2 linked regions of the Oreochromis niloticus genome follow. The protein of the gene in region 1 purifies or fractionates together with the protein of each later gene. This does not show direct contact. Links are inferred from orthologs where the notes say so. Each region holds a gene or a part of one and is shown in the gene's direction. Other genes may lie near its edges.

Region 1 (8,110 bases):
AAAAAGGCAGTGTTCATATAGAAAGATAACCTTCATATGTTTAATTTAAGCTCAAAGATGATTACAGTGAATAGTAGTCCTTCATGTAGATCATGCTTGTGTGTTGCAGAAGCTGGCTGACGATTTGAAAGCAGTTCTGACAGCACACTTGGAGGTCATCTGTCTGGGACTGCTCATGACACCAGCTCACTATGATGCCTACGAACTTAGGAAAGCCACAAAGGTAGGATCTGTGGTTTATGTACTAAACCTTTGATTTGGGGCAATATTACTTCTTTTGTTTTAATTCATTAAGCAGTGTTATAGTTTTAATTTTTTTTCAGTTCATTAAGAGGTTACGTATTTAGACTAAGTTTATCATTTAGGTTGTGTTACTATGAACTGAATTAAATGGTGATCACAAATTTGCTAGTGGGTTCAGTATGGGCCAAGAACCCTCCCAGCAGCACACTGAACCATAGTTTGAACTGAAGGATATTTTTATGCTAATGTTAAGGAATAGCTAAACATATTGATCAGAATAAGTTATAAAAAAACTACTTAGTTGTAATTCTGTTTGAGGGATATTTAAATAAATATTTTTTTCTTTCTGTTTATAGATTTTATTATTTTTGTTATTTGATTTATCCAACAGGGTATGGGCACAGATGAGGAAGTTCTGACTGAGATTTTGGCAACGAGAACAAACCAAGAGATTCAAGAGATCAAGAAGGCCTTCAAACAAGGTTTTATCACAGTCATGTGATATCACATGGTTGTTGTTTGGGTTTACTGAACTAAGATTGAATTTTATACAACATCTTAGATATCTAGCTGACACTCATAAGTGTCTCCAGTGTCTGTAGCTGCTAGCAAGCTAGACTTATTGTAGTCACATTTGGCCATCATATTGTTGTAAACTGTTACCATTATTCTGAAATTCTTCTGATTCCTCAGAGTACAAAACAGAGCTGGAAGAAGTTATTAAAAATGAGACCAGTGGCAACTACACCAAGATCCTCCTGGAATTACTAAGTGGAGGTAGAGATGAGAGCACTCGCGTAGACAATGATCTTGTTTCAAAAGACACAAAGGTAAATTCATGTAACCAAAATCTTAAACTATTTTGCTTTATGTTGTCACCAAATTATGTGAGAAGATGTTTTGATGGTTCCTATCTGTGGCGTTTGGCCAAATATGGACTAGTTTCTCTTGTGCACATAATGTAACAATCACAGAGGGTATAAAAGATGGTCATTAATTCAAACATGTTGTTGGTGGACATTAGCACACTTGGTTAGCAATCTACACCCATAAACTGTGCTTTATCTGCTAAGTACCAAACTAATAAAGCAGTCCTTTGTATCAGGCTGTAAATATGTTTATTAGTGTAGTAATTCTAGGGACTTTACCGTGGAAGTCAGTAGCTGACTTTTGCAGCCAGTCTCATGTGGCCACTAGAGGAACTGCAGTTAAGTATAAGTCATTATGATTATCATCCATTTTTTTGTCTGTCTGTAGACGCTGCTGACATTATGTGAGCAGGGCAGCAAATTCAACGTGTCCACCTTCATTGACTTGATGACCAAGCGCAGCTATCCTCACCTCCGAAAAGGTGAGTTCTTGAAAAGTCTGAACACTTCTTCTTGGTTGGGTTTGACTCATTAGACACAACGTACATCTAGAAAAACAGGTGGAACCACACTCTTGCAGGTAGGAGGTGAAACACACCCAGCAGTGTGAGAACAATACAGAGTCAAAGTCAGTCTGGATTTTAAGTGAGTTATGAAGTCTGTTTACTATTTAAAGCTGAGGAATTTGGAACTAGTCCTTCTTCTTAATTATCCACCCCACTTTGTGCAATGTATGTATCAGTAGCAGCAAAACAGTCCCAGAGCTTGATGCTACCACTGCTGTGCTTGACACTTGGTGCAGTTTTCTTAGGTTTGAAAGCCTCAGCTATACTCTTCCAAACATACCTCCTGTCACTGTGGCCAAATAGCTCAATTTTGTCTCATCAGACCATGAAACCTTTCTTGAGAAGGCATTTAGCGCTTCCATGTGGGCAGCTGTAAATTTCAGTTGAACTTGAAGGTCTTCTTCCAAACCTCAGCAAAATGGTGACCCTTCTGAATAAGTTGTATTTGCATAGAGTTGTTTGAACTGATGATCCTGGAATCTGTCGTACAATCGCATAAATTTCCAATCGAAGCTGCTGTTGGGTGAAGTAATGCGGTATTTGCTTTCTTCTTTTTTAGAACTTCAGTCTAATGTTTCACTGTTCACTAAAATCTGAATGTTTATGTTTATAAATATTTTAAAACCTATTTATTTCCTCAGCTGCTAATTAAATATGCTGCATAGCCTTAAGAACATATTTGGATTTGGTCTAATAACCCAGAATTACCTGTTTGTCTGTTTACCTGTTAGTATTGGAGGCATATAGCAAACAAACGGACGTCAAATTACCCACAGTGCTGAAAAAGGAGCTGAAAGGAGACACTGAAAATTGTCTCATCGACCTTGGTAAGTTGATGTTTGTCCTCATCAGATTATGTAGTTTTCATTTTATTTTCTGTTCAAGGTGGGGGTGGGCTGAGGTCAAAGGACGTGCGAGTGATGAAATCCATCCTCTCGTGAGCAGGAAATGTGTATCACAAATGTGATGCCATAGCACGTCTTGTGTACATTTAGATCAGGAAATATTTAAGATTGATTATAACCTGAAAACAGATTTCCACGGTATGGGCTATAACACAGCTGTGAGGTAGCATCTGGACTCAACTTGAGATCATTTTGTAACTGTTTATCTCTCTTTGATGTCCATAGCAAAATATGCCTGGAACACACCAGCTGTCTTTGCCCAGAAGCTTGTTAAGGCTTTAGAGGTGTGTATTTTTTTTTTCCGTGTGTGTGTGTGTGTGTGTGTGTGTGTGTGTGTGCGCTTGTGTGTGTATTCATCCATTCAGATAAATGTACATTGATTTATGTATTTTAAAAGGAAGGTTCAAGTCTGTGAGTAGGCTGGATGTCTTAAACTGTTCAAGCAGTTTGAAACTGAGCACTTCTGCAGTATCTACATTGCAAAACAGATTCACTTTTTCACTTATTTACTTACTTCACTTACTTGTTCCCTCAAAAATTAAGTCCCCTTAAAGACTTAAGCTATATTAAGTATACAGTACTTAACAGCATACCAAATAACAGCACTAGTTTGTTTTAAATTTACTTTATATAACCTTAGTTTAACAAATGGCATTTAGAAAATGCCACGATGAATGGCTTAGACTTTTGCCTCAGACAGTTGAGAGTACTTGTAAATACTATTTAGTTGTGTTAGGATACTGCACAGCTACAGGAACACCGCGAGTTGCTGAAGGAGTCCGTACTCTTGGCCACCCAAAACACTGAAAGGTTAACTCTTGAATAAGTGTTTGGAGCTTAACGCCAACATAACGTCTGTACAGCATAACCTTTTAGATTATTTTTTACAGTATTCAATAACCAAAACTTTGCTCTGCTCTCACAGAAACCAGGCACGTGTGAGAAAACTCTCAACAGGATACTGGTGAGTCGCTCTGAGGTCGACCTCAAGAAGATCAAGGAGGTATACTGGAACTGTCACCAAAGATCCCTAAATGATGACATAGAGGTAAAAAAAAAAAAAAAGCAAAACACAAAAAACCCATTGTTATTATGTTGCTTTTACTAATTGTGAACTCAAATGACAGCATACAGTATCTGAATATTTCAGCTAATAATATCTTTGTTCCACAGAAAGACACCAAGGAGCACTATCGGAAAGTCCTGCTTAGCCTGTGTGGAGCTTTTTGAACTTCATCTGTTACCATTTTACTCTGGAAACCGAGACCAACTTATTCCACTAAATACTCACAGCTTTAACTCTGAAATGCATGACTACTCTGTTCTTTTGAGATTAAACTTTAATAAAGAAGTTATTCCAGCACCAAGCATTTCATGCCTTCTTTCTGGCAAAATGTATTTCTTCTTTTTCTTTTAATGTCTTTTGAAAGATAACGTATGAGGAAGTTGTAGAAATGTATATTAAAATATATTTGGTTATTGGAAATGCAGAAGATAAAATGGGAAATCAAGTACAGTATTTTCTATTTAATCTTCAAAATCTTTACTTTGTATCAGAAGTAAGGCTTTTATATTACATAAGCCCATAGCCTCCACCTACTGGCAAAACCATCTAGGGTTAAAATAAAGTTTTGAATTGGTTAATATCATGCACATTTTTTTTAGTGCTTTGAAAACACAAAATGCTTTTTTAAAAACAACAACAACAAAAAACAACAACAAACAACAACAAAAAAAACCCAAATCTCCAATGCCAAAATGTATGAGACTTTTATTTGAAAGGACTGAAAAGAAATGTGGTATGTTTTGCATCTGGTTAAAAAATTGCTCATAACACTGAGTGGTAAGCAGCATTTGGTCCCAGATAGCAGCACTTGGTTTACGTCTCCCAGGAGACAAAATATGAACTCAAAACTCATTGCTGGAAACCCACAGGAGAAACAAAAACATACAGAGTAGAAGAAAAACAAACCGAACAGGCGAAGCAGAGGAGCACACAGCATAAACGGAGGACACGACACAGGACAACTTTTTAAAATATGTTTGTATGTTTCTCTAGAAAGAAAGAAAGAAAGAAACGTCGAAAATGTTTATAAAAAGTATATAAAACAACTTTCTAAATAAAGTTTAAAAAAAACCCTATCCTCATCATCTGCGCAGGCGCAAGGCTGACGAATAACTGCACGTGACGTGGACAGTTTACCGTGTCCGGAAGTGTCGTGGCAACACGGGCAGCTTGGGTGTTTGATTTTCTTTATCCTGTCATTGCGGATTTTCTCAGTTATTGCGGCCACTTCAGACTCATAACTTTTCATTATCTTTTTCTGACCGCGAGTCCACATGCGCCTGGGTCACGTGAACCGTACACCGAGGACGTGACGCCACTGGAAACTTTGGGGGAAAAGTGGCTAGCTAGCCGGCTAATACGCTAACAAGGCTACCAGCTGATTGTAGTTTACACATCAGACACTGACGGGAGGATGAATAGGACGCAGAAGAAGCCCGTTTATTTTCTCCGGCAGTGAACAGACAGTAGTTTAAGCTGACTCTCCCGCCAGCAGCGATGTAAACGATGCACAAGTAACAGATGTAACTGTCGGTGGAGTGGAGCTGGTGGTTTGGGGAGCTTGAAAATGGAAGAAAAATACAGCAGCAACGTGCTCTCAGGGGGTCAGCTGGGGATGGTCGAAGTGCCCGATTCCAGGTATGTTCTCCACCCTTCATTAAAAACTCAGTCAGTTTAAACTGATTTAACTGTTTTTATGTCACGGAATCAGTCAAATCTCATCCATGAGTCTGTAGTCCATATGTTAGCGTTTATGAAGAATTGATTACGCTATAAATTGTCCACAGCAGTGGAAAACCCATTATTATTTCCCATTGTTTGTTGTGTCCGATATTTGCAACCAGACACCATAGTTAAGAACACTATGACAAAAAGTGTTCAGATTTACTTATAAACTAACAGTCATTACATTATTATTAAGTATTATTAATTAATTAGTATTAATTATGCCCTTAATCTGAGCGGTATGTTGGTATAAAAACCTTCAAGATTGACTCTAGCATGCTATGTTTTAGTGGACATCTAAAAATTATCAGGGGTTGTCTAAGAATTGGTTTATCCAGTCTGTTGTGTCACGGGCTGTGATGCTGAATCACCAGCAGACCACAGCACATTACACTCCATTCACCACAACTAACTGAGAAAATCTTCAAACTATAGCTTAGGAAATAGAGCTTGATCGTTTTCTTCTTCTATACACCCTCTGTCGTTGACTTCCAGTTCATCTTGTTGTAGATGTGGACACATGGGTACTTGTATTCCTCCACCACATCAACATCCTGTCCCAGGATATGCACAGCTTAAGTTGTTCACCATCTCTCTGGTCTTATTCACATTCAAAAGCAGATCATTCCTCCTCCTAGATCAGCGGTCCCCAACTTTTTTGGGCCATGGACCGGTTTATGTCTGACAATATTTTCACGGACCGGCCTTTAAAGTATCGCAGATAAATACAGAAACAGCATAAAACCAGTACCGGTACAAAAAAAGATGTAATAATAACACAGGAAAACACCCAGGGAAACAGAGTTAATGATAAAAAACGGTAAAAAATAACGATTAAAACCCTGAAAACCATGCATTTCACACCCGAGTCTCAACTCTCACGGCCCAGTACCAAACGACTCACGGACCAGTCCATGGCCCGGGGGTTGGGGACCGCTGTCTTAGATCACACCACAAAAGACTTAGAGAGTCTCTCTATGTCTAAAATCATTCAACTAGTGCTCTGTACTCCTTCTCCTGCCCATGACTAATGAATCCAATCACTGCATAATTTTCAGTGTTTCTGTAGGTGGCATGACGTGTTGTTATGTTGAAAGTCTGAGATGCAAAAAAGGAACACACAGACTCTCTTTAAACCATCAGTGAATTAAAGTTTTTCTTTTTACCTGTCTCTACCTCTAATATGGTCAAGACAAAAAGAGATGGTGTTAGATTTTAGGAGGGGCATCAGTGTAAATGACAGTTGATTTTACTCTTATCACCACAGTCTGTACTAATGTGTAGTGTGTTCTTTCCTTGTACAGGTTAACCAGGTACATTGTTCTGCTGGTCATCTCGAAGGTCCTCAAAGCTCTTGGGATCTTTGAGTCATACGATATCCTCAAAGTGGTTCACATAGTTCAGTTCATCTTCATACTGAAATTAGGGTAAGTACTCTTTGTTTGTTTTATGTATTATTGTTAGTTAGGGCTGCTCTGTAGTGACAAAAATCTTAATTACAGTTATTCTGGTCAATTTTTGTTGACTTCACACACTTGCTCAATAAGAGCGATGAATAGATATTTAATGTCCATCATCTCAGCTGAACGTGTTACCAGCTGCAGTGAGTGAGTTTGAGGTTTTTGAGGTGGAGTTAAAAGACAAAATGTGATTATTCACCAAGACCTTTTGCTAATTTTGTATTTATGGATGGTGAAAACATGCTGATACTTTTTTTGGTTGTTTGTTTTGGTCTTAGGAGTGCAGTGTTTCTGCTTTTTTTCCAAAAACCTTTTTCATCTGGAAAAGTCATCTCAAAAAGACAGGTTTGTTGGACTTTACCTTTTAAATTTGTCAGTTTTTCAACCTCTAATTTTCCTGTTCTTTTTCCTGTTGTTCATTAGCTTGAACACGTGAATGTTTGCTAAATATTTGGTGATTTTGTTATAGCCTTTCTTATATATGTCATGCTTAAGATATTTTAAGTCTGGCTTTGCAAAAGGAAAAAAAACACCTTGTGCATTGTGTTAATGTCTGTTGATGAATCTGCTTTCTTTGCAGTGGATAAAGTTGTTAAAGCATGCTGTTTTCAGCTGTGTCATATCCCTCCTGGGCTTCTTCGGCCTAACTCTTTGTGGACCTCTTAGGTAAGAAGTAGTTAAACAGTAGTTAAATAAAACAAAATGCAGCATTAGAGGTGCAGGAAAAACAGTTCAAATCCCTCCCCGAGTCTCATTGTGTTTCTTTGGACTAAAAATGGTTGTTTGGTGGTCTCTTGAAAGAAACAAGACAGTCAGGTCAGCCAGAGGTGTACAAGGACACAACCCTGCTTTGCCTGGCAGAATTTCCACTAGAATTATTTGACACCTGTCTTTATGTCTTTATATTTGCATGTTTCTTCAGTTAGTACAGTAGCATCTCATTTTACACAGCTACTTTAAAGTGGTAATTTAATGTAGTAAGCAAGTATTTTACTTTACAGAGCTGTTCTTGTATTATATTCAGCTTGTTACATGGCGTTTTATTGGCTTTTGTTTAGATTTTTACTTGTTTACTTTAGTTTTTCTGCATTTAATTGAACTTTTTGTGAATAATTTCTATCTTATTACGCTATCCCTACCTCCTACAAGTGTTTATGAGAGTGTCTGCAGACTCACAGCTGTACAGGGAGTGCAGAATTATTAGGCAAGTTGTATTTTTGAGGAATAATTTTATTATTGAACAACAACCATGTTCTCAATGAACCCAAAAAACTCA
Region 2 (7,909 bases), on another chromosome or scaffold:
TACCTCTTTGAAGACTATAAAGTCCAGTGATGTGGCACAACAGATAAACATCAACGAAGACTAAAAAAATGTCTGGGAAAAATGCTTAGCTTATACAGGTGCATTGTGGTAAGTTAGTAAGTATTTTGTGAAACCTAATAAACAATGGCACCATTATTTGATATCCTTTAATATAAAACAATTATCAAGCTCTAATTGAAGAGGTTGTCTAATTCAACAGGCAAATAAAATGCAATCCCTTCCAAGCAATCAATAAGCCAGTCAGGAATAAGCAAGTGACTTAAACTTGACCCAGCATTTGTTTGTTTTCTTTGATGCAGGAAGCCAGGTCCCTCTGGAGTGTGCAACTAATCTCCAACTCTTCCCGTGCAGCAACATGGTCTCCGTTCACTGATAACATCCCCCTGACCTTTAAGAGGAAGCATCTTTTCAGTGAAGCAATGCCAGGCATTCTGCAAGCTTACGTTATTGGGAGAAAAAGTTGTGTTTTTCTCTCTGAGAAGAACCAGCCGGCAGAGCCACTTCAGAACCAATTTGTTCAAAATCACAGATGTGTGGGTTAGCAAGTGCATTTTGTGTACTAGGGGGACACAAAATGACCATACAATTGATCTCAGGGAAACTTAGAGACAGCCTCCCTGGGTTTCCAAACTTACCACTGAGGCAGATTAAACAGGGTTTTTCACAGTCAAACAGTGTCCAATTAGATTCTGTCTGTATGCAAAACAAAACAGTCTGAGTCCAGAGGAAGCTGTCTTGGATGAAATAGTGCTCTGCCGGCACGATCTCCACATAGTTCAGCTATTCTGCTGCAGACTTCTAGGTGATGATGCAGCAGGGTAGCCTAGCAATAGATGCCAATGCATGTTTTGTACTGACACAAGGTTTAAAACTAGCCAGGCTCCTCTACAGGCAGTAAACAACTGCACAGCCCATCACTAACATGAGCAATGCACAATGTAAACGAGGAAGCCAAAATTGGCATGATAGCCTAAAGTGGATAGAGAGCTTACTTCAGTAGGGTTACACCGTAGGTGATCGTGGATGACCAAAGTGATAAGTGACAAATCCTTGAGTTGCACTACACTGTAAGAGAAATTCTTCAGTCTAATTTTCTCTAGTCTGAAAATGTTGACTTTTCAGACTAGATGTATATGTTGTAGACCTAATTTTCTCTGCAATATTCAGCTCAATAGCAAGCAGACCAAACCTCTATTGTTCACTGGGACAATTTCATTTGACATCCCACTGCAGCAAACGGACAAATGTAATATATACAAAAAATTGAGAACTTTATGAAATCCAAACATCGGCAATAGCATCATATGAACATCACAAGTCCATAACACCTCTTCCACCACCGTGAAGCACAGATGGGTGGAAAAAGCCCTGAAAGTTGGTGATTTATGAAAACAAGGTCCTTGCCTACCAGGGAAATTTACTGGAAAACGCCAATAGCTCGTTCAAAGTTATCGTACATGTTCAGCTATTTGCCTGTAAGTGAAAAAAACAGGATCATGCGACTTGTGGACGCATTTTATTGGGACTGCCGTCTGCTCTCATCGTTCAAATCTAGTTCGCCAAGTTACCAATCTCAACTATCAAGGTGTCCCAGCTACCGTCCTTCCTACTATAATCCTGTCGTATTTCTATTAACCGAGTCCGTCTCTTTTTAGTCTGCTTTAGTCTGTTCACAATGAACAGGTTTAAAGAAGGAAAAAAGGTTCTCACCTGCTGAACTACGGTGCTGTAATAAGATAGCTCACAACCGAGTAAGAAGAGCGCTCAGGGTAGCGCAAGACGGACTTACACCGTCAAGAGACCCGCGAACACTGACACAACTTCTGGTAGAAACTTTCAAAGTAAAGTTGCGCAACAAGTCTTGGATTCTTGCTTGTCAAACTTCCTTTGTTTTTGCTTGTTTTCAATATCAGATGGCACAGAGTTATGTTCGGACCGGAAAATTCAACGTCAGTTTCTGACGCCACTGAGCAATAACCCTTAGATTGTCTGGCTTCCACTTTTATATGATTTTATTGTGAAGGGAAAATTACACAACTCGATCTAGCGTTCTTCTTAGGGTTGGTTAACTTAACGGAGGTAAGTAACCAACCTACTGTATGACCGTCATATTAAAACAAAAGTTGTTTTTTATTAATAATTATTAAAAAATAAATATTAGTACTATTATTACAAAGCAAAGCTCTCGCTATTAAGTAGCCATTTCCCCAATTTATGTACTTTAATTGCTTATTTTAGCCCTAGTTGTTTTTGTGTGTTTGCTTAGGTTTTCTTGACGGATTTAAATTTGACTGTTTGTGTGATGGCAGTGTGAGTTAAATCCTCAGACCACTTTTAGTCAGTATTAAGTAAGTCTTGTTAGAAGCTTATTTCCCTGAGTGGACCCTGCTGGCGTTTCATCGAAGGAGAGAAGAGTGAGAGAGAGCTAGCAGAGCGGTGATGTAGTAGCGACATCTGCTGATGAAACACTGCTACTAACATTACTCCTAGTCAAATTCAAGGCAACGCGATTTTCTGTTACCTCGCGTTTACAGTCTTGTATAGTATAGAAGTCAATTTCGGCCATTAAAAAGAAAAACCAAATCCAGAAATGTTAAAGACCAAAAAAGTTAGTCATGATTTAAAGAAATTGTCACAATTTGACTTGCATGTTAAAATGATCAGCTAAAATAGTCGGCGTTTTTAAAAAGAAAACTATCATTATGAAACCACAAAGGTCAATGGTGAGAGTTTTGAAAAACTGAAAAGAAAATGAAGGCATGACAAATTGTTTAAAATTATGAGGGAAAAATCTAAGTGATGGGACAAAACATGCAGATGGCAAGATAGAATACCAAATTGTGAGATGAAAAGAGGAGCTAGAAAGTTATAAAGGATAAGGTCAAAATAAGACGAGAAAAATTATCACATAAGAAGTCCAAAATTTATTCTTTCCTTCTCATTTTCCAAAGGCATCAAGTGGTCTTCGAACAACAAGTGCAGCCAACCACGCCCACTTTTTATCTGCTCATTATGTCCGGAAATAAATAGCTGTAGCAGGAGGTGTTGAAATTCGTTTACTTCTGCAGGTGCAGGTAAGCCTCATCTCTTCGCGCGCCGTGCAGGTATGTAACACATGCTGAATTTCAAACACTGCTTCCAGGGTCCGTGTATTTCCTGGGCATTCACTGCATATCTGTAGAAATGTCTCCCAGAGAGCCTCTTGGATGCGTTTGTCCATGTCGAGGACATGTCTGCACACCTCCCTTTCTGTTAATTATAGTGTGACACTGTACTATACTTTAATGTTATATAGAATATAATCTTTAATAAAATTAAAATATAATATTTTTTCACAACAAAGAAGGCTTCCACTGCTGCTTCTCTTGGGTTCTAGTTACATTTTTATTTATAACATTTTCATCTAAACCATATAAATGTAAATGAGTGACAGCTTCCAGCAGTTTTCAGCTTTGGAAAGGAGACATTTGAAGATCAAATTCAAAAAGGTTGCTTTTGAGCTTTGTATTTGAAAGCCCTGAGTGAATTCATCTGGGAGAACTTTCACAAAGTCAATATTTGAACTATTCTTAGTGGAGTTTGTTTTTGTGTGCACGGCCTTGTTAGGATTATCATGTGGTATTCCCTTTGGGAAAGAAACAGACTAGAGATGAACACACTCTTTATTTCCAAGGTCAATCACTAGGATCACTATGTGACTCATCTTGCTGGCTGTTCTAACCATGCAAAGTATGAAAAAGTTCTCTTGAGCAGCAAAACAGGACATGGTGCAGTTGTTTCAATTATTTGAAACCTAAAGTAAGGAAAACCAATTCAAACAATGTCTAGACAGTCTTTTACACAGAATTCTCTTAGAAGCTTCTCCCAGTAAAACAAATGAAACTGTAAAGTTAAAGGAAAGCTTCTCACATCTTTGAGCTGCTGCAGACGATTGACAAACTGATGCTAAATGACCTCATTTTTACATCGTTAGCATTTTAGTGGTAATCTGGTGAAGTGTGTTTTCTTGCTTTTAAATGGCAGATGTTTTTTGCACATATTTTATGAATTATGAAATGATGCCTAAGTTGATTCAATCAGTTAAAGGTTTCTCCATGGCTGTCTGTTACCCACAGCAAGACTTCTGTCGTGTATTGAAACTCTAATAGGTTTGAGAAGCCACAAGAGGGAACTTGACTCATTTTAGTTCAGTGGATGAATTGTTGGCATAATGTCAATATGCAACAGCCAACATCATCTCTGTATGCCTGCTGGTAATGGGAATGCAAAGATAGCTAAACTGCAAGATGGGGAGACGCAGTGATTAAAGGGACAAATCAAATTTCTTTGAGAAGCAATTCTTGCCTCTTGATGGCATCTTTTGTAACACCTTCAGGCACTTCAAATTCTCCCATATTGCTTTAAATTATTTCAGTGCCCCATTTCGCTTTTGCAGTCTTGTCTGAAACTGAGGCCTTGCAACATTGCATTGTCTTCATGTTTTGTATAATCAATGCCAACTAAAAAAAGACAGCAATAGCCACTGTTGTTGTGCATTTGGTTTTGATCCAGAAGTAACCATATTTGGACAAAATTGTGTACTATTTAGATGCTTACTAGTTTGGTTGGAAAAATTCACATATTTGCTCATTGGTGCAAGTAACAGACTTTTTTTTTTTTTTTTTTAAATATCTTTAAACCTTGCTAGATTTCTAGAGGAAACATTCCTAGTGTAGAATAGCCTTTATATCAGTCCATAAACATGCTCCTGTTTATGGTTGGAGGGTGACTCTGTCACAAGACTGCAGGATACCAGGAGTCTATGGAAAACTGGCCCTGAGTTCCCTTGCTCTGACCTCTTTAAACATTCCCGTTTGAGATTGGTTGCTACTTTCAGGCTGTTGAATAAAATGAGGTGCATCTTCACATTTCTAGTCCTATAGTGCAGTAACTTATCCAGAGTTTGTTCATTGGTCACTGACCATTTGTTAGCCAGTGAGCATGCTCTTGTTTCTTGGTCAGATCAAACCTTGCATCATGCCTGGTTGCACAATGCCAAGATTACAGCGAACACTCTGCTCAAACCTTAAAAACTGAACTTCACTAACAGGTGATGTCATGTGGCAACCTCAATCTTTAAAATATTCACTTACAATAAGCTGTGGTTTGGGGAGGAAACGACTGGAAAAACTTTTACATATTGCAGGAAATGATTCACGGGCGCTTTAAATAATTGCTGGGTTTTAAATGAGGTGATAGGTCCTGGAAACCGGTTTTTTAGGTCTAATGGACACGCCTAAGCATAGGGTGGCGGTAAAGCGCGCATAAGCGGTTTAAACGCCTCCAATAAAGCCAAAAGAAGACAAAGCATTGCCTTTTTGTTGTCATATTGGGCAGAGACCCTACAGATGGCACTGAATTGAATATAATAAGCTAACAGTGGGATTAAGTACATGGTAACGGGCCTTGTTGAATCCTCTGCTTTCCCCGCAGGTTTGTTTGCCGTCGTGTAACCGGACACATGCCTCTGCGTGTTGCTTTGCAAGTGGCTGCTGTTCGCCTCTTTAACATCATCTAATATTAACCACGGCATTCTGGCCACTTTGCCTCTTCTCTCTCGGTTTGTCATCTCTTCTGCTCAAGACTTTGTTCATTATGTGTCCTCTGCAGCTGAGGACGTTGCTTTTTGTAGGGTGGGTCGTAGGTTACGTCGCCTTTCTGCTCTCAATCAGGAGGATGTGGACCGGGAAGTACATCCGAAATCCGGTTGTCCGCTCCCTCCTGGTGAACATGCTGAGCGACCTGGATACGATAGACGTTACAAAGGTAGGTTACCTGCGAATGGTCCTTGTCGCGACAGCGGGGGTTCTGTAAAGGGTAAAACGACGCTTTGTGAAATACTGGGAAGTTTGAATCAATTGTGCAGGTGTTGGACTAAAAAGTGATCGTTTGCCAAAGTGATTTCCGGTATTTGCACAAAAATTATTGCCCGTATTTAAACTGCTATTGACTTGTTGATCTATAATATGTGAAAAGGATGGCAAACAAGTTTCTCGTGGGTATGAGAGGGTAATTTTGAGCCACGAACTTCATTCCTGTCACAATGTAGACACATGTGCTTTTTTTGGCAAAGTGACGTGTGTGTGGAGAGAGAGAGGTAGAGAGAGATCTATCTATATATATATATATATATATATATATATATATATATATATATATATATATATATATATATATATATATATATATATATATATATATATATATATATATATATATATCTCACACACATACAGGGAGTGCAGAATTATTAGGCAAGTTGTATTTTTGAGGAATAATTTTATTATTGAACAACAACCATGTTCTCAATGAACCCAAAAAACTCATTAATATCAAAGCTGAATGTTTTTGGAAGTAGTTTTTAGTTTTAGCTATTTTAGGGGGATATCTGTGTGCAGGTGACTATTACTGTGCATAATTATTAGGCAACTTAACAAAAACAAATATATACCCATTTCAATTATTTATTTTTACCAGTGAAACCAATATAACACCTCCACATTCACAAATATACATTTCTGACATTCAAAAACAAAACAAAAACAAATCAGCGACCAATATAGCCACCTTTCTTTGCAAGGAGACTCAAAAGCCTGCCATCCATGGATTCTGTCAGTGTTTTGATCTGTTCACCATCAACATTGCGTGCAGCAGCAACCACAGCCTCCCAGACACTGTTCAGAGAGGTGTACTGTTTTCCCTCCTTGTAAATCTCACATTTGATGATGGACCACAGGTTCTCAATGGGGTTCAGATCAGGTGAACAAGGAGGCCATGTCATTAGTTTTTCTTCTTTTATACCCTTTCTTGCCAGCCACGCTGTGGAGTGCTTGGACGCGTGTGATGGAGCATTGCCCTGCATGAAAATCATGTTTTTCTTGAAGGATGCAGACTTCTTCCTGTACCACTGCTTGAAGAAGGTGTCTTCCAGAAACTGGCAGTAGGACTGGGAGTTGAGCTTGACTGCATCCTCAACCCGAAAAGGCCCCACAAGCTCATCTTTGATGATACCAGCCCAAACCAGTACTCCACCTCCACCTTGCTGGCGTCTGAGTCGGACTGGAGCTCTCTGCCCTTTACCAATCCAGCCACGGGCCCATCCATCTGGCCCATCAAGACTCACTCTCATTTCATCAGTCCATAAAACCTTAGAAAAATCAGTCTTGAGATATTTCTTGGCCCAGTCTTGATGTTTCAGTTTGTGTCTTGTTCAGTGGTGGTCGTCTTTCAGCCTTTCTTACCTTGGCCATGTCTCTGAGTATTGCACACCTTGTGCTTTTGGGCACTCCAGTGATGTTGCAGCTCTGAAATATGGCCAAACTGGTGGCAAGTGACATCTTGGCAGCTGCATGCTTGACTTTTCTCAGTTCATGGGCAGTTATTTTGCACCTTGGTTTTTCCACACGCTTCTTGCGACCCTGTTGACTATTTTGAATGAAACGCTTGATTGTTCGATGATCACGCTTCAGAAGCTTTGCAATTTTAAGACTGCTGCATCCCTCTGCAAGATATCTCACTATTTTTGACTTTTCTGAGCCTGTCAAGTCCTTCTTTTGACCCATTTTGCCAAAGGAAAGGAAGTTGCCTAATAATTATGCACACCTGATATAGGGTGTTGATGTCATTAGACCACACCTCTTCTCATTACAGAGATGCACATCACCTAATATGCTTAATTGGTAGTAGGCTTTCGAGCCTATACAGCTTGGAGTAAGACAACATGCATGAAGAGGATGATGTGGACAAAATACTCATTTGCCTAATAATTCTGCACTCCCTGTACATATGTCTGCTTTTGTTTGTTTGTTTGGTTGTTTTTTTTTAAAGGGAGATCTGGCTATTTCAACAA

What was found.
Region 2: the proteins of slc30a5 (region 1) and mettl9 purify together in Homo sapiens (co-immunoprecipitation; 3 studies listed by BioGRID and IntAct, with this or other methods). This does not show direct contact. The link is inferred for Oreochromis niloticus from reciprocal best matches to the Homo sapiens genes SLC30A5 and METTL9.

What each region holds. Positions count from the first base shown.
Region 1 is NC_031972.2:31,370,572-31,378,681, forward strand, and holds the start of slc30a5 (proton-coupled zinc antiporter SLC30A5), read left to right. Parts: upstream 1-4,757; 5' UTR 4,758-5,216; coding exon 5,217-5,287; intron 5,288-6,678; coding exon 6,679-6,801; intron 6,802-7,112; coding exon 7,113-7,179; intron 7,180-7,414; coding exon 7,415-7,500; intron 7,501-8,110. Other genes in the region: annexin A1-like, read left to right, coding at 110-223, 635-725, 937-1,073, 1,501-1,594, 2,410-2,505, 2,809-2,867, 3,509-3,631, 3,757-3,813. UniProt on the Homo sapiens protein: Together with SLC30A6 forms a functional proton-coupled zinc ion antiporter mediating zinc entry into the lumen of organelles along the secretory pathway.
Region 2 is NC_031973.2:26,776,080-26,783,988, reverse strand, and holds the start of mettl9 (protein-L-histidine N-pros-methyltransferase), read left to right. Parts: upstream 1-4,845; 5' UTR 4,846-5,453; coding exon 5,454-5,493; exon of another isoform or gene 5,494-5,620; intron 5,621-5,643; exon of another isoform or gene 5,644-5,655; coding exon of another isoform or gene 5,656-5,692; coding exon 5,693-5,826; intron 5,827-7,909. UniProt on the Homo sapiens protein: Protein-histidine N-methyltransferase that specifically catalyzes 1-methylhistidine (pros-methylhistidine) methylation of target proteins.